7 linked regions of the Ovis aries genome follow. The protein of the gene in region 1 interacts with the protein of each later gene in a pairwise test. Links are inferred from orthologs where the notes say so. Each region holds a gene or a part of one and is shown in the gene's direction. Other genes may lie near its edges. The genes, in order: TFIP11, SAP30BP, SNRPB, RRP7A, KIFC3, OIP5 and FAM13C.

Region 1 (4,262 bases):
AATCACAGCTGATGGGGACTGAAGCCATGAAATTAAAAGATGCTTGCTCCTTGGAAGAAAAGTTATGACCAACCTAGACAGCATATTAAAAAGCAGAGACATTACTTTGCTAACAAAGGCTCATCTAGTCAAAGCTATGGTTTTTCCAGTAGTCATGTATGGATGTGAGAGTTGGACTGTAAAGAAAGCTGAGTGCTGAAGAATGGATGCTTTTGAACTGTGGTGTTGGAGAAGACTCTTGAGAGTCTCTTGGACAGCAAGGAGATCCAACCAGTCCATCTTAAAGGAAACCATTCCTGAATATTCATTGGAAGGACTGATGCTGAAGCTGAAACTCCAATACTTTGGCCACTTGATGGAAAGAACTGACTGATTTGAAAAGACCCTGATGCTGGGAAAGATTGAAGCTGGGAGGAGAGGATGAGATGGTTGGATGGTATCACAGACTCAATGGACATGAGTTTGAGTAAACTCAGGGAGTTGGTGATGGACAGGGAGGCCTGGTATGCTGCAGTCCATGGGGTCACAAAGACTCAGACGCTACTGAGCGACTGAACTGAACTGAACTGAGCTTAGGTCTTTTCATCATACAGATAGAGTGAGAGAAAATAAAAGGTAAAATTAGCAGCTAACACTCCCTAAGCATCTGTTATGTACCAGGTACAGTTTTAATTGCTTACCTATTTTATCACAACCATTTTGCTTCAGGAAAGGTAATCAATGCCTTGCCTGGTTTCACAGTTGTTAAGTGGTGGAGCTGAGATTGGAACTCTAGAGCCTGTGTGCTGACGCGGAATCCAGAGCTGGTGAGGGTTTCTCTAGGAGTGTCCCTGCTTGTCAGTTCCTTTGATTCCCGGAGCCTGGCACATTGTAGGCACTAGGTACATTTTTATTAGATCAGTGAACTGATTTATTTACCAACCTGTTGGAAAGGAAGAGAATGAAAAGATTGCCTGGCAGAATACTTGGGAGTTTGCCCATTTAATCCTTCACTTAATCAAACTCCTGTAAAAGGCAACCGCTCCGGGCCCACGACCGTGCTTATACTGAGAGACTCGAAGATCCAGGAGACAGTCTTGACCTTCATTATTCCTATTTGAATGTCATGTGCCGTCCCCACGCCACCGCAAATGTCTCATGCACAAATGTCCCAGGAGCTAGTCTTATATCCCCATTTTGCAGATTTAGAATCTCAGGCTGACAAAGGAATCTCCCTCGGCCAGGGTGGCTCGGCGACGTCCGTACCAGTCGTCAGAGGCGGGCGTCACGAAGAAGTGAGCGCGACAAGAAACAACAGAGAAACAGCCCTTAGCCGTTCTCGGCCGCGAAAACCTTCACCATATCAATAACTCAAATGCTCTAAATCTAAAGCCGCCCCAGCGTCCCACTGCTGCCATGGCAACGAGCGCGTCACATCGGCTGACGTGACGTCATTTCTGGTGCGCCGCATTCGCGTTCCGGCGCCTTAGTGGCGCGTTTCTCGCACGGAGTGGGGCTCTGAGTTTGGTCCGCTGAGCCGGGGAGAGGTGAGCTGGGCCCGGGCGTGGACGGACAGGGGACGCGGGGGTGTCCGTGCCAGTAGGAGAGGGGACTCTGGCTCGCGGAAGCGGGCCTCGGCCTCGCCGGTCCCTCTTCCCTTTGGCAGACAGCTCGGCCGCAGCGGGCCGGGGGCGGGGCCGCTCGAGGTCTCCGGGCCGACTTGGACCCCGAACCTCCACCGCGGGGCCTGGACGGCGCGGCAGCGAGACGCCGAGCCCTGGCTGCAGTTCAGCTGGTGTCAAGCCTCACCAGCCGTGGAGCCTAGGGAAGTTAATTTCTCAGCCTCGTTTTACTGAAGTCTGAGGTTCGAAGGCGCTCGCAGTACCTCCCTCGTAGAGGTGCCTTGATGCCTATATTAGATTATCGGCCTGAGGCGTCCAGCAAGGGCTTACTTAGCACCTCCTGGGGGCTCTGTAACTCGTGACAGCTCCGTGCTTTTTACCATGCCCTGTGCCCGAGGAGGCGGCGGTGATCGGCGACTCCCATGTATCTGGGACACGCCGCCTCCTCTGAGAGTATTTCCCACCTTTTTCGCGCCTGGATGACGTTGGGACCGGCAGGACCCAACCATTGCACCAGTGAGTTGAGTAGAGTTAAGTAGGGAAAACTTTCCCACAGAGCTGACCAGAGTTTGAACTCGCCTTAGAAGTGTTGTGAGTTGGCTGTCCCTGAAGCCTGCTTTTTGCAGCTGCTAGACGGAGGCCACAGCGCTGTCCTGCACCTAATGTACTGCGTTGCGGTGCCCCATGCTTGGCACATGGTCTGCATTTAATATCCATGCATTGAGTACCAGGTAGAGTGGGGATTTGAACTCGGTCTGTGTGATTTCAGCACCTGCTTTCACAATCACTTTGCTCCATGCTAATCCAGTAATAGGAGGGGCCATAGACCTAATCTGGGACTAGAGTAACAGGCACTTCCTGTGAGCTAAGTGTTTTGAAAGAGCCATCTCATTGATTCTGCTGCACAAGCCTTCTCTAAGGTTGGTACTGTAGTTAATCCACTTAAGAGACAGCTGAATCTCATCACCCAGCTACCCTGAGTGGATTGCTGCATTCCGGTTCACAGATGTGTGCTGTTTTAAGGTCGTATTCATAATCACTACTGCCTTCTAGTGCCTCAAAAGAGGTTCCTGTCTGGGGAAGAAAACCTGAGGGTTATATATAAGTGTTTTCTAAAAAAAAAAAGAAATCACTTTGCTCAACTGTTATAAGTCCAGATGAAACTCTTCACTCAGCAATAGAAAAAAATAATATCCAGGAAGATGTTTGCCTCATTTGTGAGGCAGTCATCCGTAGAGTAACATCCTTAAATTGTTTTTACATGGTTTGTGTGTATGTGCGTGTGGGTGATGTTTGACAACATTGAGAAGGAAATATGTTTTTATCCACATGGACTGTTGGGACTGGTCTTTTTTATTCTGTTTTGGTACCTGTTTTGTAAAATACGTTTTTAGCGTCTGCTTTATTGAATTGTAACAGTGACTTCAGTGGATTTTAGTTTGGAGGAAGTTGTGAGGGCAGCCTTCTGCTGCTGCCCTGGGACTTGTCACAAACTGTGCCTTTTCCCTGCCTCCCTTCAGTGACGGGCCATGTCGCTGTCCCACCTGTACCGGGACGGCGAAGGCCACATGGATGATGACGAGGACGAGCGGGAGAACTTTGAGATCACCGACTGGGATCTCCAGAATGAATTCAACCCCAACCGGCAGCGCCACTGGCAGACCAAGGAAGAGGCCACCTACGGAGTGTGGGCAGAGCGAGACTCGGATGAGGAGAGGCCCAGCTTTGGAGGCAAACGGTATGGCTGGCGCGGACCGCTTTCCCCAGGCGTTGGGGAGCTACCCTGCTAAGTACGCTTCTCTCCCGGCCTCCCCGAGCCCCTTAGCTGCGGCCTCAGCCAGGGAGCCCAGTTCCTCCTTCAGACAGAGCACTGCTCTCTCACTGACCGATCGATCACGAGTGAGCGATCATGTATCTAAAGCCTTGTGCTGCAGCCCCAGTCCTTCCCTTCCAGGAGCCCAGACCCCGGAGGATGAAGGCAGGCTCACAAATGGAAGTTTGTAACTGACGTAGGACCGGAGGGGGAGTACTTTTCCGGGTGTTGACCCGTTCTGGGAGGTCAGGGAAGATTGAGTGGTGAGGGGCAGGAGGGAGCAGAGCCCCTTGATGGGAGGAGCAGGGCGCCCAGGAGGGTGTGAGTGGTCTTATGGGGAGACGGGGGAGAGGGAAAGGAGGGGACTGTGGTCTGTGCAGAGGGGGTGAGACGTGGCGGGGGGAGTGTGTGTGCAGACGACCCTGGGAAGCCAGAGTGGAAGCGGGGCTGTGTGATGAGACCCGGGCGGTGGTCCGGGGACGGGTGGTGGAGACTGGGCCGGGAGGGCAGCTGTGGGCTGGGGGTTCAGGCTGAAAGCCGCCTCCTTGGTGTGAAGTCGTGTGTGGGGGCTGCAGCGTGTTTGAGCAGACTGTGTAGCAGACTGAGGTTAGTCTGTGTGTCCCCACCTGAAGCCTGGATGCTCCAGCCCGTTGAGACTGTACATTTTCCACAAAAGAGACAGGGAGAAAGAGCAGAGATCCGTTCAGCCTCTTTTCATCTGGCAAGAAATGTTACCAGTGGACAGTGTGGATCACAGGGCAGGAGTGTATGATCGTAAGATAGTAACAGCAGCCAGGACCTGCGGGTCCTGGTCTCACGGGCCTGGTCTCACTGACCTGCTGAGAGAA
Region 2 (3,500 bases), on another chromosome or scaffold:
ATGGTCACCCCAGGTCCTCCTACCTCTAGAAAGCTGTTGACTCTATGCAGGTTTGACAGACAGACCTGTGTCTGGGTCTCACTCTCTCCAACGTTCAAGCAAGTGACACATCCAGGAAAGAGCCCAGGGCGAGAGCTGCCCTTGCCCTTGTGGGCCTAAGTGGGGATGCTCCAACCAGCCCCACAGACTGAAAGTCTGACGTCCAGTTGAAACCTCATCTTGACATCATACTCGCTCTGCCCGCTGGCCCCAGTCCCTCTCTGTGGAAGGTTGGAAGGCCAGAAGTGACTTTTAATGTCAAGTCAGCGGACATTTGCCCTCCCATTTGGAAACTTGTTTAGAACAGTTCACCTGGGCTAAAGACTTGGTCTGCACACAAGTGCTAAGTGGCTCTGACCTCCTGAGATCCGGTGCTGCGCAGGGCCTCAGGCTCAGGCCTACTCAGCACCCTGTGGCCTTCTTCTTTCAGCATCTATGAGAAGCTCATCCAGTTCTGTGCTATTGATGAACTCGGCACCAACTATCCAAAGGTATGCGCCACCTGCAGAGGCAGCGGGTGAGGGAGGGGACCCAGGGCCCTGTGCCCTCCCCACTGGCTTCAACCTGGACCCACTGAAAGGTCCGTGTGGCACACTGCCAGCAGAGGAGAGCCGTCCCCATCTCTCTTGTTTGAGCCCCAGGGCCTCTGCTTGGTTAGGGGCTAGCGTGGACTCGCCGTGCCCTGTAGATCAGCCTGTCCACAGTGCTTCTCTGCCCTCACTGTCCTAAGAAGGGTTGGCTGGAGACGGGATAGCATCTGAGCCTCCCTGCCCTTTAAGGCCAGAGATTCCAGCCCAGGAAGATCCATGGAAAGACGTGGGGAGAAGCATGTGGTTTCTGAGTCATTTCCATTTATTGGCCCTTTCTGCACCTTTGATGGAGAAGGCGATGGCACCCACTCCAGTACTCTTGCCTGGAAAATCCCACAGGCGGAGGAGCCCGGTAGGCTGTAGTCCATGGGGTCGCTAGGAGTCAGACACAACTGAGCGACTTCACTTTCACTTTTCACTTTCATGCATTGGAGAAGGAAATGGCAACCCATTCCAGTGTTCTTGCCTGGAAAATCCCAAGGACGGGGGAGCCTGGTGGGCTGCCGTCTCAGGGGTCGCCCAGAGTCGGGCATGACTGAAGCGGCTTAGCAGCAGCAGCAGCAGCAGCAACTTTGAACTTTTCTTTTTCAGGATATGTTTGACCCCCATGGCTGGTCTGAAGACTCCTACTATGAGGCATTAGGTGGGTAGCCGTTCATCTGCCCGCTCACCCATCCGTCTGTCTGTCTCTCCAGTCATTAGGCAACACAGGTTTCAGGGTCTCCTCCGTGTTCGGCCATGTCTGAGGAGCTGAGTATGCAGCCTTGAACCATCCAGACCCCTGTCCCTGACTTAAGCTTGCAACACAGCAAAGAAGACAGGATCAAAGGAGAGATTCCGGGAATAACGAGTGGAGTGATGAGGATGCAGGCTGGGCCACCTCATCGGGGCCCGGGGCAGGGTGGGCAGCCTCGTGGAGGACACCGTGTCTGAACGAGGTCTGAAGGTGCACAGAGGCTGGCTGAGCAGGTGTGGACGGGTCCCAGGCAGGGGGCCGGCGGGAGTGCAGCGCTCTGTGCAGGGGCCTGGCTGCGAGGACTGGGAGGAGTTTCAAGGGGCCCGCTCCCTCGGGTACCAGGTCCCAAACCAGTGGCCTGTGGACCACCAGATCTGGCCCGCAGGCATGTGTGGTTGGGCCCCTGTAAGTTCTGTCTTGCTTTAATTTGAATTCACCGCTAGTGTTTTATCTAAAAGTCCAGAGACTTCTCTGGTGGTCAGGTGCTTAAGACTCCGACCTCCACTCTAGGGGGCTCGAGTTCGATTCCCTGGTCAGGGTAGTAAGATCCCACGTGCCGTGCAGCCAGGCCAGGAAAGAAACGATGCAAATCTAAGACCCGGTTGCTGAGAAGGTGGTTTCCCTAGGCCAGCATTACCCCGTGGCTGCAGCCTGCTGGAGCCCAGGAGCAGTTCACCCCTCCAGACGGGGTGCGCAGCCCCAGCTTCAGGGCCTTTGGACTGTGAGGCCCGGCTTCGTGCTGACTCGTGACTCTGCCGATCACAAAGAGATGCTGCAAACAGCAGCCCCGGGAGAGCGGCAGGCGGCAGTCCAGGTTCTTTGGCCTGAATTACCTTGTTTAATCAGCTGCTCTGTAACTGCCTGTCCTGTCTTCATAGCCAAAGCCCAGAAGATTGAAATGGACAAGTTGGAAAAGGCCAAAAAGGAGCGAACCAAAGTAAGTGATGGGTGGATGTCCTGATGAAGCGGGCAACTGTCTGGGGCACATGGGTCCTGCAGGCTGAGCCAGGGGGCTTCCCTCACCCCCAGCCCCCCACCGCGGTTCATCACCCAGCCACGCTCTGAGCAGCCTTAGATGTGCTGGATTTTAAGCCTCCATGACTCAGCCTGAAGACGCTTCCCAGGCTGCTTCCGCTTGATTTCTCGGGGTCTTAATGTTGGCTGCATTGTGTCCCCTCCCCTCCCGATACACACCCTTACCGCTGCCGAGCCCTGGGGGCTTTCTCCCTTTGGGCCCATCGGCAGTCTCCTCGGCCTGAGCAGAGAACGGGCGCTCTGGTCTGTGCCGTCCTTGGCTCCCAGCACTGGCCTTTGCAGCCCGCCTGAGTGTTTCCGTGTGTCTCCATGGCCAGGTGGCCCCTCACGCCAGGACCCTGAGCATGCTGCTTGCCTCTGGCCTGGGTCCTTCAGGGGATGGAGACTTGGCCATGAGACCAAGTCCTCTGGGCTGTGCCCTTTTTGACCGGAGTCTGAGAGAGAGAACACAGCCGCAGGACGCCCGCCCTTCCACCTGCAGTTTAGCCTGGTCCTCCTCCCGCAGCACATGTGGCCTCCAGGACGTGTGTCCCCCACCCCCTTCCCCGGGGCCACAGGGTTGATCCCTCTGGGAGATGGTGCTGGGGCGATCAGGGGTCCTCAGTCTTAACCCTTGATTGAATTTCCCAACTCTCTCTCCTTCCCCCTTTCCAAACCCCAGGCTTGTTGCAGGGACGTGTCTGCAGCACCTGGGGGCCGGAGCTGTCCTTCCCCTGTGCGCACGGGCACCGCCTCCCCCGAGGTGTGAGGGCGGGGCCTGGGCGGGCAGGGGTGCCCCAGCACGCAGAGATGGCCGTGGCGGGAGGGGCCCGGTGTCTGCGGGAAGCTCTCTTCCGGGGAGTAACCGTCCTCTCCAGGCGCCTCTCCAGTGCCTCCCCCACTCGACAGTCACAGCTGGTTCTCAGTGCTTCCCTCGTGCGGTGCCAGGTTGCCTCCTGTCCCCCCAGGAGCAGACAGCTGGCATGCACGCTATGCGCAGGTCCTAACGCACGCTCGTCCCTCTCGCCCCCAGATTGAGTTTGTGACGGGCACCAAGAAGGGTACCACGACCAACGCCCCGGCCACCACCACCACCACGGCCAGCACAGCCGTCGCAGGTA
Region 3 (3,061 bases), on another chromosome or scaffold:
TTAGGTGGTGACTAGCTGGCTGGTTCCTCTCAGTTTGCTCTCCTGTTTTACAGGGCAGATTAAAATGGAGAGTTTCTTAAATCTCTTTCCTTAGTCTTGCTCTTTACTTCTAGCAGAGTACAAGTTGTAAGTAGGGCTGCCAGGCTTTTTATTTCTCTGATTTTGTGTGCCCGGGGGTACTGGGGTAAAGGGCTCTCATGTTCTCCCCACAGGTGTGTAAGGGGGGAGAGCTTGATTTTCTGGCCTCATTGCCTATTTGTAAAGCTGTAGCCTAAAGGGCTCTCACAGTGCAGCCTGGTCTGAAACTGCTTTAAGAAGCCTCTGACCCTCTTCAGGGTAAGTGCTCAACTCCCCTTGTGGGTTTGGGGCCAGTGATTTTTGTTGTCATTTACAGAAACAATTGGAGAATACAGTCCCATAATTTGTTAGATAATTCCCTTGTCTTAGGACTCACCGATCTTAAGCTTCTAGCCTGGTAAAAGATGTGGTCTAGTGTTTTATACAGTAAAGGCATCTTGAGGCCCAAAGAAGTTACGTAATTTCCTTGACCATCCAGCTCTCTTTTGCCACTGGAGTGTCCATAGTGTGTTACCAGTGGCTGTCAGTTCCTTTTAATTCTCTTTGGGACTTTTGTTTTCTTTGTGGCATGAGGTCAAGAAGTATAAGACAGAAAATGGTAGTGATGGCTGAGTGCCCGGTGTACATTAGAGAGTGGCCAACATTTTTAAATGAGACTAACTTTATTCTGGTAATGAAAATGTGCCCATTAGAAAATATTTTGTAAAAGTACATAGAAGTATATGAGAAAAAACTTAAGAGACCCAGAAAGGATTTTTTTTTTAAATTGTGAAAGGGCAGTACATGCTTTTTTTAAAAAAAATAAGAACTATAGATAAGTTTTAAAAAAGAGGAAAAAATGACCACCTATAGAAAATTTATATAAAATATCATTAAAATGAAAACTTTAAGTAATTTTTAAAAATCAAGATATTTTGTATTTCCTTTAACTTTAGGATATTGGCTTTGACTTTCCTTTCCCTGTCTTGTTGCAATTACTTTTTCCCAGTCTATCTCGTTTATATTTTGCTCATCCTTTTCTACTTGTGGATATTTGGAGATTTGTTTTTGTTCTTTGAGGATAGAAGTGTAATTTCTATGTAGCTAATCTCTTAACCTTTTCCTTTATGGCTTCTATTTCTAATATGAGGTGAGAGACAGAGTTATAGTTCTGTGGGGCTGAATTAATACTAGAAGGATACTGCATGTAAGTAGAGTGAATGGGATTCAGTTGACTTGAGGAATTGTTCCGACTGCCTTCCTGACATTGTTAAGGCCTTAAACTGAAGGAAGAAAAAGGGTAATGGCAACAAAGAGTTGACTGAGGGAAGGCTTTCACAGTGGCTTTGTGAGTGAGCCAGGGCTGGGCTTTCTTGAATCTTGTCCTGTCTCTTGGTCTGTGCATTCTCTTGGCATGGGAGACAACCATCAAATGGGGGGAGGTTACAAGTTTAGCCTGTCAGTAGATTTAGTGTAAAAAAAGTCTCGGAGGGCCCCTAGGTAGGTGAACATGAACTTTACCCTTTTTCTAATGCTGTTTTGCTTTGTTTTGTTTCTTCTCCTAAACCTGTCTTTAGACCAAAGAACTCAAAGCAAGCAGAGAGAGAAGAGAAGCGAGTCCTCGGTCTTGTACTACTTCGAGGGGAGAACCTGGTCTCAATGACAGTAGAGGGACCACCTCCAAAAGATGTAAGTCAGAACTGAGAGCCAGTGCAAGGCCAGGAACCTTGTGCAAGGGAGGTGCCACCCTGACCTGGGCCCTGTGTGGGGTTCTCTGTTTCATTGCAGTTCTCATAGGTATCTTCTGGTTTCTGTTTCCCTTATACAGATAATAAACCAGAATCTTAAAGAGGTTCCTTTGCAAGTCAGAAGTAAGGAACTAGGATTTGAGGGTTTGTAACTTTAAAGCCCTCTTTTCCTTAGTTGATGTACCTAGTCAATAGAAGAGGCACCTAAGGCCTCCTGGATCAGTTCTTAATGTGATGACAGTCTAGTTGGACCATAAAAAATTGTAACTCCAAACAATAGAATGCATGTATATTTTTTGTATAGTTATAGAATAATAGTTAATATTTAATTAAGCATCTGCTATTTGCCACGCCCTTCAGTATTTAATTCATGTAACAGTCTTTTGAGATAGATTATTCCCGCTTTATAGATAATGCCAATTGAAATTTAGTAACCTGCACAAGGTGGCACAGCTGGAAAGTGGTGAAACTGTCATTTGATTCCAAGCAGTATTGGTTCATTAACATCAGCCTCCCTTTAGAAATAGGAGAGGCTTTAGAGAATCTAACCAAATTTGTTTCCCCTTTTTCGTTTTAAGATAATGTTTGTTAAAGGAATAATCTTGTTACCTTGTGTTAATTTTTGTCCACATATATATATGTTGGGTTTTTTTAAACTTGTAATAGGTGTGTATCATTCTGCTTTTTAACTTAACATTGTAAACATTTTTCCAGTTGCTGTATTCAAAAGTCATGTTAATGACTTAAAGATACTTTCAAGTGAGTGCAGAGTAGTTTATCCTAGTTATTTCCTTTTGTTTAGACTCTTATATGCAAAGGATGTTACCATGTTTCTGATTCAAGGCCTAGGTACCTATTCATAGCTTTGGTATCTATTTCCAGTAGAATTTGCTACTCTAATGTAGCCGATTGTAAGCCTTCAGGACCACAACCAGTTTTGTTAAAACCTCTTCATTGGTAGATGAAGAAGCAGTACTAGAATGGTGGGATTACTTGCCCACTATCCCCACTATTACCCACCAAGTGAGAATCAGAGCTGGGACTGGACCTCATATCTCTTTGTCGGGTCAAAACACTAATCTAACATAGATACCCTTTGGGGTGGAGGCTTGGCTGTTTATTTGATTTTCATAGGAATGCATATTGGTTGAGTTGTACCTGTTTCTCTTGACTTAAAACCCTTAAGTTCTTTTAGCCTGCTGGGCATATAATCTTGGATGGAGGAAGAGTGGTGTTAACAGGAATGGATAGTGTTT
Region 4 (4,155 bases), on another chromosome or scaffold:
TAGACGGCAGCCCACCAGGCTCCCCTGTCCCTGGGATTCTCCAGGCAAGAACACTGGAGTGGGTTGCCATTTCCTTCTCCAGTGCATGAAAGTGAAAAGTGAAAGTGAAGTCGCTCAGTCGTGTCCGACTCCTAGAGACCCCATGGACTGCAGCCTACCAGGCTCCTCCGTCCATGGGATTTTCCAGGCAAGAGTACTGAAGTGGGGTGCTGTTGCCTTCTCCAAATCATACTAAAGATCAGGAAAATTTCACCCTGAAGGAGAAAAGAATGGATGTTAACTCCATGATGACAGAGATGTTAGTTACTGATAAGGATTTAAAAGCAACCATTAAAAATTCGTCAATAAGCGATTAACACAAAACAATTGATGGAATATTTGAACTTCAAACAATTGAAGAAGTAAAGAAAAACCACTTTAAGTTGGTTTCAGAAGTAGAGAAAAACCTTTTCAAGTTGAAAATACACCAAATTCCCTGGAGGTCCAGTAGTTAGGACTTTGCACTCACTGCCAAAGCTGTGGGCTTGATTTCTGGTTAGGGAACTAAGATCCTACAAGCCGCACGGTGCAGCCAAATAAAATTGAAAATTACAAGTACCATTCTCCCCCTCCCGCCCCCCCAAAAAAGTAATAGAGAGGAATCTGTGAACTTGAAGGTGAAACAATAGAAACTACCCAATCTGAACAATAAGGAAAAATAGACTTAAAAATAATGAAGGACTTTGGGGGCCTATGGTACTGTAACAAAAAGTCTAAAATCTGTGACATGAGTCCCAGAAGGAGAAAAGTAAAAGTCGAAGAAATAATGGTTGTTGGGAGTTCTCTGGTAGCCTAGTCGTTAGCAAAAATAATAACGATGTTCTCAGTGCATGTAAAGGAAATATTTAAAACAATTATTTTATAAATGGGAAAGGGCTGAGGGATATCTAGAGAAGGAATGTTTCGGCACTTAGAAATATCAACACTGATAAAATATCAACAATAGTATACTGTGGTAACTTTTTAATATATATATGTATTTACATAATAAACATTTACATACAAATGATAAATGTTTGCATATCCATGTGTTGTTTTACATACACGATATAATTATGTACTTTAATATAATTCCTTATTCCAAGAACTGGCGATGGACAGGGAGGCCTGGCGTGCTGCAGTTCATGGAGTCGCAAAGAGTCGGACACGACTGAGCGACTGAACTGAAGGTTGGGCCTTGGGAGGACGGCGGGACCGGGCAGGCGGGAACTAGGGGTCGCAAGAGGCGGGCCTGGAACCGAGAGGGCGGGGCCCCAGGAGGCGCCGTCGTCACGGAAACGGCTACCAGCGACCAACTACAACTCCCAGCATCCCCCGCAGCTTCCGGTCGGCAAGATGGTGGCGCGCAGAAGGAAGCGTGCGGCGCGGGAATCTGATTCGGGGGTTCCAACCCTGCCCGGCTACTCAGGTAAGGGGCTGCGGGGCGCGAGGCTGGGGAGCGGCCGTGCTTCTCCACGAAGAGCCTGGGGGGTCGGCAGTGGGTCAGGACCCCGAGGAGCAGTCACACGCTTGGACGTGAGCCCCAGAAGGTTCTGAAGCCCCGGGCCCCCTCAGCCCACGCGGCACCTGTTCTCGTCTGGGTTCACTTGGCTCGGGACGAGCCTAGTTTGGCCAACGCTTTCCTTGAGTGAGCGCACCTTCGTCTACACTTTTCCAGGGCGAACTTGTGTCTGTCTGTATTCTCCCCCCTGAGAGGCACCCATCCACTTATCAGCCCCTTTTTGCAATTTCTGGTCCAGCCGCGTCAGCGCTCACCTCGCCTGTTCCCCTGCCTTCTGTTTTTCACTCAGCTGCCAGAATGTTCTTTCTAAAGTCAGATTTAACTCAGATCTTGCCTCACACGCCCATCCCCGACGAACTCTCTGCAGTGACTAAAGTTAGCACGTAAAACAAAATCCAGACATCACATCCCTCCTATCCTGGCTCTAGCTGACCTACAAGCTCTGTCTTTCTGTTTCTCCGAGACAACAAGCTCTTTACACCCACAGAGTTTTTGTACTTACTGTGTCTTTTTCCTCTGAGTTCCTCAGACAGCTCTGCCCCGTTACAGGGCTTCGTGTCATTCTGGTCGAAGCTTTAATGTTACTTCCTCAAAGAGGTGGTCCTGATAGATGTCTAAAGGCCTGTGTCACCCAGTACCCTGCACTACTTCACTCTGTTTCCTTCCTGTTTGGAATTTTATTTATTTTTGGCTGTGCTGGGTCTTGGTTGGTGCTCCGGCCTTTCTCTAGTTGCCAGGAGCGGGGCTGCTCTCTGGTTGCAGTGCGCCTCTCATTGCAGTGGTTTCTTTAGTGGAGCCCCGGCTCTATCTAGGTGGCATGCCGGCTTCAGCAGTTGCTGCTCCGGGGCTCTGGAGCACAGACTCAGTAGTTGTGGTGCCCAGGCTTAGTTGCTCTGTGGCATGTGGGATCTTCCCGGATCCAGGATCCAACCTGTGTCTCCTGCATTGGCAGGTGTATTCTTTACCACTGAGCCTCTGGGGAAGCCCCTGGTGGAGGCTTTAATGTTACTTCCTCAAAGAGGTGGTCCCCAAAGGCGTCTGTCACCCATTAGCCTGCTCTACTTCACTCTGTGTTTTTCCTTCCTATTTGATACCACCTTGTTACATGCTGACTTGTTCTGTCCTCTCACTTCACTACGTGAGCTTCCTGAGTGCAGGGTTGCAGCTGGATCCTCTGGATCCTCTCCGTGCTCTCCGTGCCCCAAGAGGTGGTGTCTGGAAGTTTGCATCTCTTGTGACAGGATTAAAGTTTATGGGAATGCCAGCGATTATCCAAATCATCACACAGCAAGGGGCTTAGAGACCGAGAGAGATGTTAAGGCACAAAGCGGGTAGCTCTAACCTGGCATGTAAGGCTCTCCTGAGGGAGTAAGGACCTGAAGAATGGGTGGAAGGATGAGGGCTGATGTTTCAGAGCAGCATGGGTGAGGCCCTGGCTGATTGGAGGAACAGAGAGGAGGTATGTGGTGTGGAGAGGGGAAGATGGGGTGAAGAGAGGCTACACGGGGGACCGTGGTAAGGATTTGGGGTTTACTCCCAGAGCAGCAGAGTTTGAACCTCTCTCCTTTCGCATCCCATTAAAATTCTCTCTACTGCCGACTGGAGCCCCTCCTGGGCAGATGGTGTTCGTTCAGCTGTGTAGCCTGCCGAAGCATCTTGCACAGGCCTTGCCTAGGAGAAGAGCTCAGTGAAGGATGGATGGGTGGATGGGCGGACCAACAGGCACACAGGACTAAAAAGGGACAGCCTGAACCTGACTCGTGTGTCGTCCCTCCCCGTTCCCACGTTCCTTCCAGCCATTCCGATCAAATTCTCTGAAAAGCAGCAGTCTTCTCATTACCTCTATGTGAGAGAGCACAAAGTTCGAGAAGGCACCAAGTCTTCCTGGCCTCAGAAGCGGACTCTTTTTGTCCTCAACGTGCCCCCATACTGCACAGAGGTAAACGGGTGTCTGGAAGGGAACCTGAGCCTGGGGCAGGGGCTCCTGTGGGCCCCCCACCCCCCAGTCCTCAGTGATGAGAGGGAAGCAGCTAACTGAAGTCCCGAGGGGTGGTGTCTGGAAGTCTGCATCTCTTACAACAGGAAGTTGGCATTTTAAAGATGTCCTTTTTTAAATATAATTCTCTAGGGAGCCCATAGCTTCTTATATGTTACCCAGAATTGTTTGAGTTACGTGTTTTTTCCCCGATTATAAAATTGATACATGTCCATTGCAGGTAGTATTATAGTACAGCTAAAGTCTTCTGTTGCCTAAAGTAGTTGTTGCATAACTATGTCTGCCAAGCATAATTCCACCTGAAGACAGATACACTTGAAACCAAAAGTGTTAGTCATTCAGTCGTGTCCTACTCTTTGCAACCCCATGGACAGAGGAGCCTGCCTGTCCATGGGATTCTCCAGGCAAGAATACTGGAGTGGGTTGTCATGCCCTCCTCCAGGACAGACACTTGTTCTCACATTTTTTCTTGAGTATTGTGAAGGTTGTGCCAACTACTTGTGTGAAGTCTGACAACATAAACATTGTTTTGTTTTTTTTTAATTGATCCGCATCCATAGTAAAAAAAAAAAATAAGAAAAGTAGGAGAAAGTAAAATTACCTCTGAGTCTACTATTCA
Region 5 (4,143 bases), on another chromosome or scaffold:
AGGCTCCCTGCCTCCCCCAGGCTGCTTCTGGGACATCCTCTGAGGAAGGCCGTCTGGGCCTACACCAGGAGCTGCTGTCTGCTCCAAGCTGGCATTCTGAATGTGTTTTCACTGGAGATTAAAGGAATATTTTACCTTTAAAAATCCCAAACAGCTTCCCTGCTCTGCAAGACATCTATCTCTTGGTGGGGTATGAGAGGGGAACAGGGCCAGGCAGGAGCAGGGGGCAGCAGGTGGTGCCCTGGCTAGGGAGGCAACCTGGCCTGTGTGCTCCTACTAGAGCTAGTGAGAATGCACGTGTGAAAACGCGTGTGCTGATGTGTGACAGTGCATGCATGGGCACGTGTGCTCACTAAAGCGTGTGTTGTTTAGTTGCTAAGTCAAGTCTGACTCTTTTGCAATCCCATGGAGTGTAACCCGCCAGGCTCGTCTGTCCGCGGGGTTTCCCAGGCAAGAATACTGAAGTGGGTTGCCATCTCCTCCTCCAGGGGCTCTTCCTGGACCTGGGATCGAACCCAAGTCTCTTGCCTTGGCAGGTGGATTCTTCACCAGCTGAGCCACCTGGGAAGCCCATGAAAGTCTGTACTGGGGTTAGCAGCATAGGAATGTTGCTCTGTGAAATGTGAGGAAGAGTTCAAGAGTACCTGAAGAAGCATGTACAGCATTTGTGGGAAAGCAAGGGGGAAAGTCTGAACTCCGTACAGGAATGTGAGTGCACATTGGAAGTGTGTGAGAATGTGCAAGTGTGCACACATACTAGCTAGTGTGTGTGTGCTAGAAAGTTTTAGAAAAAAGTATACTACAGATTGTGAGAAACTGTGAAGCGTGGCAAGGGAGCACTTGTGAGAATTGTGTGTTAGTAGTAGTAACTAGTGTGTGCAAAAGTTTTGTACTAGGGTTTGAGGAGGTGTGGATGAGAATGTCAGTTTAAGTGCAAAGCATACACGTAGGAACGAACGTCGGGATGTGTGTGGGAACTGTGAATGTGTTCATGTGGACTCACTAGAGCGTGTGTGCAAACCTGTGAGAGCCGCGTGTATTGTATGTGAGCACGTAGGACGGCTTGTGTGCGTCTGGGGTGAGCGCGCACGTGTGCACGGGCGTGTGCGGAGCGCCGGGAGACCCAGAAGAAAGGTCTGAGCAGAGCCGGCGGCCCCGCGTGAGAGTGTGAGTCTCTGTGTGTGTGCACGCGGGAGCGCGCGCGCGTGCCGCCGCCCCCCGCCAGGGTCTGAGCCGGTTGCCATGGGAACGCGCCGCGGCCCGAGTTAATCATTTCCTGTGGAAAGTGTGCGGGAGGGGCCGGAGCGGGGCGGGAGCGGGGCGGGCCAAGGAGGCGGTGGCGTGGAGCTGCCTCCCGCCGGCGGGCCGGGCCGGGCCGAGCCCCTGGCGCTGCGGCGACGCCGGGATCCTGCCTCCGCCAGGCCGGTGAGTCCGGGGCTCGGGCGGGAAGAGGGAGGGCTGGGCGCTCGGGTTCCGCCCAGCCCGTCGTTCGGGGTGTCGCGTCCGGGATCCCCCTGCCCAATCCCGAGGTGGGGCGCGGGGAGGGCCGGGCCCGGGAGACCCAGCCCTGCGCTATCCCGCCCCCACCCCCGCCCCCCACGCTGTCCAGCCAGAGCCGATCAGAGCATGGGGGCGACATGTCCCCTGGAATGCGAGCAGCCTCGGGACCCCCTTTCCGATTTCAATGGCCCGGGAAAGCCGGAGATTGCCAGGGAACCGCGTGCCGGTCAGCGCCGCCCCCTCCCCGGGCCGAAGTCCCCGGGTCCGCAAGGCTCCCTCGAACGCTGCAGTTTCGAGCCCTCCCACCGCGTAGGTCCTCTGGGCAGTTGGCTTTCCCCTTCGCAGGGCCGGGATGGGGTGGGCTAGCGGCAGGTTAGGAACGAGGGCCTGGGCCGGCGTCCCCCTGGGCAGTGGGGAAATTGAGCCTTTGACAGCTGCAGCCTGGTGGGGAGGGGTTCCCAGCTGGGAGGGCCAGCCCGAAGCCACCTCTGTCAGCCCCCTGTTGTGAGTTAGAGCGGAACTCTGGCGCAGTGAAGGGCCTGGTCCTGGCAGATTTTAAAGAGGAAGCTGTATTTAAATTCTCAAGTACCATTTGTCATCAGCACCCCCCCCCCCCACACACACACACATTTGTCTCAAGGTTGGGGGTCCTGGCCACACCTGCCCTTTCGCCTTCTCTGGCTTTCTGTCCTCCTGAGGCTGAGCCAGCAACTCTGCTGGCCCAGGCTGTTCCCTGTGCCCTTGATAAAAGTAGCCGTCTCCTTGGCCAAAGAGTCATTTGTGAGGAATGCAGTCTGAGAATGGGGCCCTGTATTTGCAGTGACTGGACTTAAGGGATGTGGGGGTAATGCGTTCTGCTTTCCCTCTGGGCACCAAGGGACAGAGGCTTTGAAATCTGGGTTGACCTGCAAAACCTAGGATGTGTGACTGCTCAGGGGAGGTCCAGCCCCTGTCCACCCTCCCAGACCTTCTGCCCCCTCTCTCAGGGAGACGAAGACTATGTTTCCCCAAGCAGTGGTCTCTGGGCAGTTGTCAAGTCTATTCCCCAATCATTGCAGCAACCCTGGTCTGGGGGAAGAGGGCTGCACCTCTGCCACCCTGGCCTAAACCTGGAGAGGCTGATGGGGCTCTCCTGCAGCCTGCCCCTGCGTTCACCCACCGCTGGATATAGGTCACTGAAACATTAAATTTGCGGGGGGGAGGGGCAGGGTTCTTTGTATATGTCAGTATTGTTCTTAATGTTGTGTATATGTGTCATCCAAACTTTACATCAACCCTATTAAGGTAGAGTTCTCCCATTTCAAAGATGGAGATACTGGGGCTTAGAGACAAAGTCATTCTCCCAGGGTTGCACATCTACTAAGTGGTGCAGCCGGGCTCTGAACTAGCTTTTGGTCATAACCACGCTGTGCCCCCATCACCCCGTCCTAAGACCTAGGTTTTTGTGTCTCCAGTCTTGGGCTGTTTGAAAGTCCTTGATGCTTTTGACTCTCACATCTGACAGTCTGCTAATTCAGCTACTTTTTCCTCTCCAGGATCTTGCACACACCCTTCCTCTTTCTTCCTGATATCTTCCTGCCTCCCAACTTCCCTTCCTGAAAGCCAGGAAATAATGTGTCCTTCTGTCCCTGCCCCTCAGGCTTAGCTGACCTCCTTAAAAGTCTTCTCAGGGCTTCCCTGATGGCTCAGCGCATATAGAATCTGCCTGCAATGCAGGAGACACAGGTTCGATCCCTGGGTTGGGATGAGCCCTGGGTAGGGATGATCCCCTGGAGAAGGAAATGGTAACCCACTCCAGTATTCTTGCCTGGAGAATTCCCACGGACAGAGGAGCCTGGCGGGCTACAGTCCAAAGGGTCTCAGAGTCCAACACAACTAAGCACAGAGCACATGAAGGTCTCCCTCAACCATGGAATCGACCTTCAGTGCCCTTTGCCATCTCACCTTCCAGCAGCTCAGCATGCAGGTGGAGCCCGTCTCACTCCCTCCTTCTTTACCCACTGGGCAGCTGATCCTCAGGGCAGATTGTGTGCCCAGCTCTTTGCTGAGTAGCCTGGAGAAGGGGACGTCTGGCTACATCTCCCAGTTCCCTCCACTCCACACTCGTCCATCTCCATTTCCTCAGCGGAGCTACCCACAGGCAGCATTAATGTCCACTCTGCCCTTTGGCCAGCAGTCCTGACCCCTGCCAGGGAGAGGGCACCCAGGAGATTCCTCCTCCAAGGTGTCTTCCTTAATCAAGGAAGGTAGAGGCCAGGACTCTCTAGCCAAGAGCCTGGCATTCTTCCAGGGCTCAGCTCTGCCAACCTCAGGCCACCCATCCTTGGGGTCTTCCTTCTCTTGCCTCTCAATGCTTCAGTTGTTCCTGTTCCTCTATTGACCCAGCATGTGCAGATCTCTCCTGTTCTAAATTCCACATCCTCTCCTTCCCATCCTAGCCAACTTCTCCAAAGAGAAGGAAGTGGCAGCTTCCTCTGGCCACCCCCACCCCACCTTAGACTTTCCCAGGTCTGCCCTCTGTTCTGCTCCATTGACCTTTCTTCCAATTGGATCTCTCCGTGGCATGGTTCCCTGGTAATTGACCATCCCCTCCTTCTCACTCCCGGTCACCTCTGAGGACTCTTCACCTGTCTGTTGCTTCAG
Region 6 (3,998 bases), on another chromosome or scaffold:
AACACTACAGCTTGCAGAATAAATCTCCAGAATATACTTTAATATTATGTGGGAAAACTCCACTAAATATACAGAACAATATATACATCCAATCCAGAATTGAACATTTTCCCCCAAACGTTTCGCAGTATCAGAGTCAAAGACCTCATCGGTTTTGAATAGAACACTACCACAACAATGACCAATAGACGAACGATCCTACTGAATCAGAGCTAACTTAATAAAAACTTATCCACGGGGGAGGTTCCCTAAAAATCATCCTTTCTTCCGTCCTCCATTCAAGTAGCAGGAAATTTTGGGACCTCTTACAATTAACAGAACTGTTAGCTGTTTGGAGTTTTCCAGAAGCAAAGGCAATTTAACAAAAGTGTGAGCTGTTTGGAGTTTTTCGCGACCGCCTATTAATTGGCGTTTAGATGCAGCATTCCTTTAGTTTTCTAAAGGGCCTGCCTTTCCTAACAGATGGACTGATAAATAGCAGAGTACTCCCAATAAAACCAAAGCAAACAATTTTGGAGGCGGGCATCTTTCTGAGTCCCTGTAAGAGTCAGCCTCAACAAAGGTGAAAACTTTGACACCCTCTCGGTTTTGCACAGTTACTTGGACCCTTGGGTAAACCAAAATCTACCGCCCCAAGGCCGGGACAGTCGCCTCAGCCCTCGAAATTCCCGCTCGGTCCCCTCCCACAGCGTCTCAAAGAAGCCGCATATCCTATCCCCCAGTCACCGGCCCCGTACCCTCAGGTTAGCCCGGAGGCCCAGGTTCTTGGCCAAGTTCTGCAGGTCACTGTACTTGAAGGAGTTCAGCTCCTCCAGGGAGGGAACGATCATGGCGAACTGCAATCCAGGTAACGACGCGGAGGCCCGATACTTAACTTGCTAAGGCGCCGCTCAACGCTCTGGCGCCACTCAAAGCGTTGAGCAAACCGGTATTTATAGAGAGTTTAAATTACGTAAGCTGCACTTCCATTGGTTACAAATCCGTTAAAGGCGGGGTCTTCTGGTACTGACCAATAGGATGGTTGACTTCCCTTCCACCTGACCCACGATCTTCTCCACACTGCCCTAACACCTAGGCGCCAAACGGCGTGTCCAGGCAACAAAGTGCGCGGCAGAGCCCCCGTTCACGTTGTCCAATGAGGACGCAGGAGCCAACTTGGGGTGGGGCCTAAATAGTCTTTGAAACGGTGGCGCCGGCTGCGGGAAGATGGCTGCTCGGCCGCGGAGGCATGTTTCTCGGATTGCAAAGCAGCCACGGGGTGACTTCTGTGATGGGACTAAGAAAGCGATTAATGAACCTTCTTTTGCGACTTCCATGGAGTGGGACACGCAGGTGGTGAAAGGGTCTTCGTCGGTCGGCCCCGCAGGGCTGGGGTTGGAGGAGCTGCCGTTCCGCCCGCGGCTGCCGCGATGGCTGCAGCCCGAGAGGTGCGCGGTGTTCCAGTGCGCGCAGTGCCACGCCGTGCTCGCTGACTCTGTGCATCTCGCCTGGGACCTCTCGCGGTCCCTCGGGGCCGTGGTCTTCTCCAGTGAGTGAGCGCGGCGCCTTCTCACTGGGTGACTGAGAGCAGCTGGGAGGAAAGCAGGATGAAAATTTGGAAGGAACTTAACTCCTTTGCTGGGGGGTTGGGGGGGGCGAATAACTTTTTACGATATTCGTGACCATGATGAGCTTTTCTGACTGAGAGAGGTTTTCCCTTTCAGTGCCTCACAGGTAGTCATTCTGACCTGTGTTTGCCTTTTAGGAGTCACAAATAATGTCGTTTTGGAGCCTCAGTTCCAAGTTGGCGTTGAAGGTTCGCTCAAAGGCAGGTACGTACTGAAAATTCCAGAACTGTCTCTAGTTATTCCCTGACTTATTGTGGTTGAAGAGCGTGGAACCGACTTGGACCAGAAGTTTTTTCCTATCTTCCACTAGGAGAAATGTCTGTTTCGTTCATACAGTGTACTTGAAGAATGCTCCGTTTACCTGATTGTCTTGTACGAACTTGATGTTTTAATGAAATGGCAAAGATACTTGTGTAAAGGTTTTAAGATCTTCTGAGGGCCACATTTCCCTCGTGGGTTGTGCAAGTGAAGTGAATTTAAGAAAATTAGGAGGGGAAAAAGGGAGAAAATTACCTTTAAGTGAATCACTTTTTATAAACTGCAATACTTTGACATAATAGGACATATACACTTGCATTACACCTGGAATTTGTAATAAACTACAGCGGGACTAATTCTGCTGTAACCTAGGAACCTGGAGAAAAACACAGGTTGAAAGTTAGGTCCTTGAATACTGCCTGGTGAACTTTGCATCGTATCTGTACTGTGATTTAGAAGTGACAACAAAGTACTCAGTGAATTCAGTACAGAGCTCCTCAATTTTCAGTGTTGATTTTAACAGCAAGACAATTCATTTTGACCATTGGTTGGTCCAGTTTTAGTGTTAAATAGAGTACGTTTAGGAATTCTTAGTTGCTGTACTCAGTAACCAGGAAGACTTCTGTAGCTCCTCTTTCCCAGCTGAAAGATTCCTTATCCTTCCAGGAGTGTCTACACACCCAAAGGAAACTGGGAAAGAGTGGTGGCCTGCTTGGAACTGGTTCATTTGGGGCCCGAGGCAGAAGCTCTTTGAATATCTTCTTAGAGAGAAGTACATCTAGCTAGATCTGTGCTGTCCAGTACTGTCACTTGTCACATGGTGGCTACTGAGCACTAAAAACGGTGGCCATTCTGAACTGAAATATGCTGAGTGCAAAATACACGTAAGATTTTGAAAATAGTCAAAAACATTGAATAATTTAGAAATATTGATTACATGGGTTTTGCTGTTGTTGATGTCGTTTTTTTGTTTGTTTTTGGCCCCACTGTACAGCTTGTGGGGTCTGAATTCCCAGACCAGGGAGCACATCTGGCCAGGGCAGTGAAAGTGCCCAATCTTAACCACTGGACCCCCAGGGAATTCCCTTGATTACATGTTGAAATGATGTCTTTGAATATTGGGTCACATAAAATATATTAAAACTAATTTCACTTGTTACTTTTACCCTTTTTTTTTAAACAAGACTAATAGAAGATATGAAACTACTTACATGGCTTGCATTCTTATAGAAAGTACAGATCTAGATGGCTTTTAAAACACTGGAGAGAAAGTTCGATGTATTTACGTTTTTGAAATAAGGAGAGCCATGGGATTCAGCAAGAAGAGATTTATTGTCAGGAATTGGTTCACTCGATTATGGAGGGTGAGAAGTTCCAAGAGCCATGGTTGACAAGCTGGAGACACAGGAAGGCCAAAGGTTTAGTTCTAGTCCAAGTCCACAGGCCTGAGACCCATGAGCCAAAGGTGCGACTTCCAAAAACACAGTATTGCGTGTGTAGTGTGGGACTTCATCTACCAATAAGTTTAGTGCGTTTGTTCCTTGGTCCTGTTTAGTGTCCATTGACATGAATTTGTTTATTTTTAGCCATGCAGTTATACTTTATTAGTACTGTTTTACTGCATAGTATATTATGTTTATACAAATAATTTTTCCCTCATTGAACCACTCTAAATCGCTTTTAGTACATGCACGACAGTTAATTTTTTCTTACAACATTTCTTTGTAATATTTAGATTTGTCTTATATACTAGCAAATAAGGTCAATCAGTTACTCAAATGGTTTAAATAGAACTAAAACCACATTTCTTTTAGAGGATAAAGGAAAATAAAGTAGATGACTTGCTAGGATCATAAAATTTCTTTCTTTTTCATTTTGTCTGGGAAATTGTTTTTGGTTACATCTGCAAAAAAATCCTGATTTGCATTCTATTAATAAATTGCTTAATAAGCCCTAGTCAACTTGATTGTTTTACTTCAACTGCAAATTGGCTTAATGGTGGCTAATTTATATGGTTATGTGTAGTTTTATATGTTTAAATGTTAATCTGATTAGTTAGCTCTTTTTCTGCTTTTCAGATATAAATTACTTTTGCAAAGTGACAGTTGTGTATCCATGATTGCTTTTGTAGCC
Region 7 (4,200 bases), on another chromosome or scaffold:
TTTCATACAAATATAGGCAGGTAACAGAGATCTATTAACTTTTTAATGAGGGTATCTATAAGATGATGGAGAAGGAAATGGCAACCCACTCCAGTATTCTTGCCTGGAGAATCCCCATGAACTGAGGAGCCTGGCAGGCTGCAGTCTATGGGGTCACAAAGAGTTGGACACAACTGAGAGACTAAACACACACATATGCGTAAGACGAGGATGCTCTTGGTTCCAAGAGTGTTTTGAGGAACTGAATATGTACAGGCACTTAGAAAGAATGTTATTAATGTTATAAGACTGTTAGGTTAGATACAAAATTGGTTCAAGTTGCATAATGCAATAAAACCATAAACGCTGAGGTTTTCTTCTGGACAGATCAGACAAAATGTGCAATGCCAGCACGTAGCTCTGTAGTGTCCGGAATCTAACCAAGAGTGACTAGCAAGTTAAACACAGTCCATTTTTGTAGAGAATTAAGCAGTCCTTGGGTGGACCTCTGAAGCACTGTCTTGGTGTGACACTGAAAGATCTTGCTCTTTCCCCTTATTACCAAGTTTTGAATAATTTTTCTAATAATCTGAAAATTAAATTTTGATTTTTTTTGTTGTTTAACTCATTATCTTATATAATTTAGACTAAAAACTACCATCTCAGTGGCTTCAGAGAGTGAAGAGATTAAAAGAAGGGAATGAGGATCTTCTCAATTCAAAATAAGCATCTTTCCCAGGTGACTGTTCACTCCACATCAAGGTCAACCAGGCAGGAGAAATTAACAATGAAAAGAGAACAGGACAGACATCTCCTGGGGAATGAGGCAAGTGGGAGGCTGACAGCCTTCCCTTCCCCCAGTAGGGCTGCCTTCATTTAAAGTGGGTAGCGCAGGTGGATTCGATCTCTCATCTTTTGTAAAACTGGTTGGGAGTGGAGCTTGGGCCAGCTGCCCTGGGCAGAGCAAGCCCCACTCCGCGCACGTTCCCCCCAGTCATCAGCTAATGCCTGGAATAAATTCTCCCCTCTCCTTGAGCTGGTTCATTCAGAGCTTTGAGGTCCTGGGCTGGGCGCTTCCTCTTGGGGACTGAAATAACGGGAGTGCAGACTGACTGGTGTAATGCTACCAGCCCTCTTTCAGGGCTCTTCTTTTTCTTCCTGGGCAATAAACATAGACACCAAAAACAGCAGTTATGATCCCCTCCCCCTTCTGGTTCCCTTCCAGCTTTTTCTGAACGATCTGTGCATCTCTGCGAGCCTCCATCCCTAGAGGGGGTAGCTCTTGTAAAACTGGTAGGAGACGTCTGGAAGAAAGCAAGTCCCCCGGAGATTTCAGCACCTGGGTAGAAACAGTCGGGCTTTCCAGGGGGTGGCCGGCACCGGGAGGCCTGGATTAAAGGCGGCGCTGGGCTGGCGAGATTGAGGTCCCGGAGAAGCGCTCCAGGTGCTCCTCGCGGGGGTCCCGGGTGCGGCTGCCTGCCGCGCCCCGCCCAGCTCTGTCCCCGCAGCCTCGCGGGCTGCCGGGCTTTGTGGTTCGCCCGTGCGGCTGGGCCCCTGCTGGGGGTGTTGTTACGAGCATGTGCAGACAGCAGCCCAAGGTAGAGCGAGCGTGCCGGGCGAGCCCTGAGACTGGCCTTGCAATGCCATGTTTGTGTGTGTGCTCTAACTCCCGGAGAGCAACCAGGGAGACGGCTCCCCGGCCGGACTTGGCTGATGTTTTCTTGTTTCTGTTTCAGCCTTCAGGATAATTCCTTCAGCAGCACCGCTGTAACAGAGTAAGTGATTCTTGTCAATACAATAAGATTTGCCTGCCTTTCTCAGGAAGCAACTAACGTGAAGGTATCCTCCCCCGTCCCCAGCTGCTCTGGGTACTAGATGCATTGTCTCCTGTAATCTGGGGCTGTGAAGACCGGGAGACGTGGGGGCTGGTGGGGCCCAGAAATCTTTACAGGTTGAAATCAGCCTTTTAGCAACTATGGGAGAGCTATTAAAGCAAACTGATGGCTTACGGGAGCACAGTGCTCCTATATTTGTGTTCTTGGAGTTCAGATTTTTGAAAAATGAATCTCGTTGACATGTCAGCAAGGAAGCTTTGTTGTGTTTTGCCAACACTGGTGTCTGTTTTCATGAGCACGCTGTGTACATTTACAGCAAGTAGGAGATGGATGTGAAATGACTCGAGTTGAATTCCAGCATGTGATAAATAGGCTAAACTTAGCCTCACCCTCTCCTTTCTACAGACTTTTAAGACAGTAAACTTTTCTTGCATGCCCTTTGTCGATTTTGTCTGCTGCCCTCAGAGATCTGGCTATCGTAGGACTGTGTTATCTACTCCTACGGCTAAAGCTTTTGATAGGGACAAGTAATACCATTCAAACATGGAATGAAGGAGTGTAAATATTTTACTCAAGACCAGCATGCATGGTATTTTTTATTAGATATTTAGAGTTTATGCTTTTAATTCTTGTCATCCTTTCCTTAATGTTTTTCTAATACTGTATTATATGTATATGTTAAAAATTAGTGGGTAGTATATTATGCTAATAGTATATGTAACTGATATGGAATTTACATATATACATATATGTATGAAATATCTACGCTTTATTTAGCAGTCTTTCTCTAGGCTAACTCATGGTGTTTACTTCTGGGACCTTACTATAGAAGTTACTCTAAATAGTTTTTTAGGAAAAAGAGGTGTATATGGTTATATGCTCAACTACATTTAAAAAATGCTGCAAGTTTGATACAGAAGTCCCAGTAGCTTGGGAGCTATTTGCTAAAGTTCCCTAACAGGCAAATAAATGATATGAGATTCAAGTCACTGTATCAGTGACTTGGTAATGGAGGACTATAGGGCTTCCCAGGCCCTCTTGATTTTTACATTCTTTTGTTTCTCTGGATACTACTCTCTTAGAGTTGAGCTTTGGGCTGTCTTAAGTGGAGTTACTTAAAAAAAGAAAAAGATCCAGGGTTGATTTTCGAAGATCCAGTGTAAAACACTCATTGAAACCTTCTTCCTGTTAATGAACTTGCTTGGTAACGGTGCTATAACTTTGCTTTCCTAAAAGCCTTAGAGTGGGGAGAGGCGCAGGCCAGAGATGAGGCTGTGGCTCGCTGGTTTGGGTACACGGGTATTACTTTCTTCCTTTTGCTGTGCATATAGCACCACAAGCTTCCTGGGCCCGACTCTCAGGACCTGGTGTGGCTGAATCCCCAAAGTCAGCCATAGGCATAGCAGCTTCAAAATGGAGTTCCTTAGTTTTAGATTTCACCTGGACATTGTTTTAAAATTGGTTTTAGTTAAATGCTGGGGAAAGTCTGGTACCTTGTCTTTGGACAGTCCCCAAGGAGTTCTGATTGCATAAGACCTTGTTGTTGTTTTCAGAGAAGTGACAGTGATTTATTTTAAAAGGCACTGAGTGACAATTGGGATGCCATCTGGCTAATCTAAAAATCTGAGGGGCATATTTGAAGCATACCAAGCCTTCATAGGTGTAACAGTACAGTCTAGGGCCATTTATAACTAGTCATTGTCTAATATAGTATTTTCTCCTCTGAGTTTTCCTTGGTTCTTTAGGCATGACCCTAAAGCCAGCAGGATCAGAATGTGCTATACTGAGATAGAAGTAGCAGGTGATTCATAAATGTTCAGGTCTGGTCTTGGCATACAGCACTTGCCTCTATTCTACGGTCTGGATAAAAGAAAACATCGCCTTTCTCCTATCTCCACCCTACGCCTACTTCCTCCTACCCACCCACACATACTTATCTTTTCTACTGCCTGAAATTCTACCTAGAGATTTTTTTTTGGATGAAGAACTCTGGTGGTGACCCTTATTAAAATGGAAATTTTAAAAGTCTGTGTCCCTGGGAGGTGGATTCAAATTGTCATTAATATTTTAATATAAATTATGTTATCAGCTAGTTTAACCTAACAAGGTTCTGCTTGGCCAGCTGGGGGTCTTTTAAGAGTCAAAGGGAGTGGAATTGGGAGGTACTCAAGGACACATTTTATTCTCTTCTTAATTTTTCCCATGCCTTGCCTGTCCGTGTCTGTGCAAATGTGGCCCAGTTCAGTTTCTTTTTCCTACCCAGATTCTTCCAAGGTCAGAATGGCCTTGGCCTTGGTTCTCTATCTGTGTACCCTCTCATCTGTTATTTTTCCGTGGTCATTTCCTATGTTGCCCTGGCTAACTCATTACTTGAAATGAAGCATAT

What was found.
Region 2: the proteins of TFIP11 (region 1) and SAP30BP interact in binary tests that used the Homo sapiens proteins (3 or more experiments, as listed by UniProt). The two-hybrid records come from large-scale screens. The link is inferred for Ovis aries from reciprocal best matches to the Homo sapiens genes TFIP11 and SAP30BP.
Region 3: the proteins of TFIP11 (region 1) and SNRPB interact in binary tests that used the Homo sapiens proteins (3 or more experiments, as listed by UniProt). The link is inferred for Ovis aries from reciprocal best matches to the Homo sapiens genes TFIP11 and SNRPB.
Region 4: the proteins of TFIP11 (region 1) and RRP7A interact in binary tests that used the Homo sapiens proteins (3 or more experiments, as listed by UniProt). The link is inferred for Ovis aries from reciprocal best matches to the Homo sapiens genes TFIP11 and RRP7A.
Region 5: the proteins of TFIP11 (region 1) and KIFC3 interact in binary tests that used the Homo sapiens proteins (3 or more experiments, as listed by UniProt). The link is inferred for Ovis aries from reciprocal best matches to the Homo sapiens genes TFIP11 and KIFC3.
Region 6: the proteins of TFIP11 (region 1) and OIP5 interact in binary tests that used the Homo sapiens proteins (3 or more experiments, as listed by UniProt). The two-hybrid records come from large-scale screens. The link is inferred for Ovis aries from reciprocal best matches to the Homo sapiens genes TFIP11 and OIP5.
Region 7: the proteins of TFIP11 (region 1) and FAM13C interact in binary tests that used the Homo sapiens proteins (3 or more experiments, as listed by UniProt). The two-hybrid records come from large-scale screens. The link is inferred for Ovis aries from reciprocal best matches to the Homo sapiens genes TFIP11 and FAM13C.

The regions. Positions count from the first base shown.
Region 1 is NC_056070.1:66,369,134-66,373,395, reverse strand, and holds the start of TFIP11 (tuftelin-interacting protein 11), read left to right. Parts: upstream 1-1,462; 5' UTR 1,463-1,526; intron 1,527-3,121; 5' UTR 3,122-3,130; coding exon 3,131-3,339; intron 3,340-4,262. UniProt on the Homo sapiens protein: Involved in pre-mRNA splicing, specifically in spliceosome disassembly during late-stage splicing events. Intron turnover seems to proceed through reactions in two lariat-intron associated complexes termed Intron Large (IL) and Intron Small (IS).
Region 2 is NC_056064.1:55,225,602-55,229,101, reverse strand, and holds part of SAP30BP (SAP30-binding protein), read left to right. Parts: intron 1-469; coding exon 470-530; intron 531-1,220; coding exon 1,221-1,272; intron 1,273-2,243; coding exon 2,244-2,302; intron 2,303-3,061; coding exon 3,062-3,142; intron 3,143-3,412; coding exon 3,413-3,497; intron 3,498-3,500. UniProt on the Homo sapiens protein: Plays a role in transcriptional repression by promoting histone deacetylase activity, leading to deacetylation of histone H3.
Region 3 is NC_056066.1:52,396,632-52,399,692, forward strand, and holds part of SNRPB (small nuclear ribonucleoprotein-associated proteins B and B'), read left to right. Parts: intron 1-1,634; coding exon 1,635-1,746; intron 1,747-3,061. UniProt on the Homo sapiens protein: Plays a role in pre-mRNA splicing as a core component of the spliceosomal U1, U2, U4 and U5 small nuclear ribonucleoproteins (snRNPs), the building blocks of the spliceosome.
Region 4 is NC_056056.1:219,366,612-219,370,766, reverse strand, and holds the start of RRP7A (ribosomal RNA-processing protein 7 homolog A), read left to right. Parts: upstream 1-1,355; 5' UTR 1,356-1,374; coding exon 1,375-1,447; intron 1,448-3,336; coding exon 3,337-3,479; intron 3,480-4,155. UniProt on the Homo sapiens protein: Nucleolar protein that is involved in ribosomal RNA (rRNA) processing. Also plays a role in primary cilia resorption, and cell cycle progression in neurogenesis and neocortex development.
Region 5 is NC_056067.1:25,344,597-25,348,739, reverse strand, and holds the start of KIFC3 (kinesin-like protein KIFC3), read left to right. Parts: upstream 1-1,343; 5' UTR 1,344-1,626; coding exon of another isoform or gene 1,627-1,637; coding exon 1,638-1,809; intron 1,810-4,143. UniProt on the Homo sapiens protein: Minus-end microtubule-dependent motor protein. Involved in apically targeted transport. Required for zonula adherens maintenance.
Region 6 is NC_056060.1:34,994,549-34,998,546, reverse strand, and holds the start of OIP5 (protein Mis18-beta), read left to right. Parts: upstream 1-1,198; 5' UTR 1,199-1,206; coding exon 1,207-1,528; intron 1,529-1,744; coding exon 1,745-1,811; intron 1,812-3,998. Other genes in the region: NUSAP1 (nucleolar and spindle-associated protein 1), read right to left, coding at 738-830. UniProt on the Homo sapiens protein: Required for recruitment of CENPA to centromeres and normal chromosome segregation during mitosis.
Region 7 is NC_056078.1:14,369,152-14,373,351, reverse strand, and holds the start of FAM13C (protein FAM13C), read left to right. Parts: upstream 1-1,400; 5' UTR 1,401-1,692; coding exon 1,693-1,754; intron 1,755-4,200.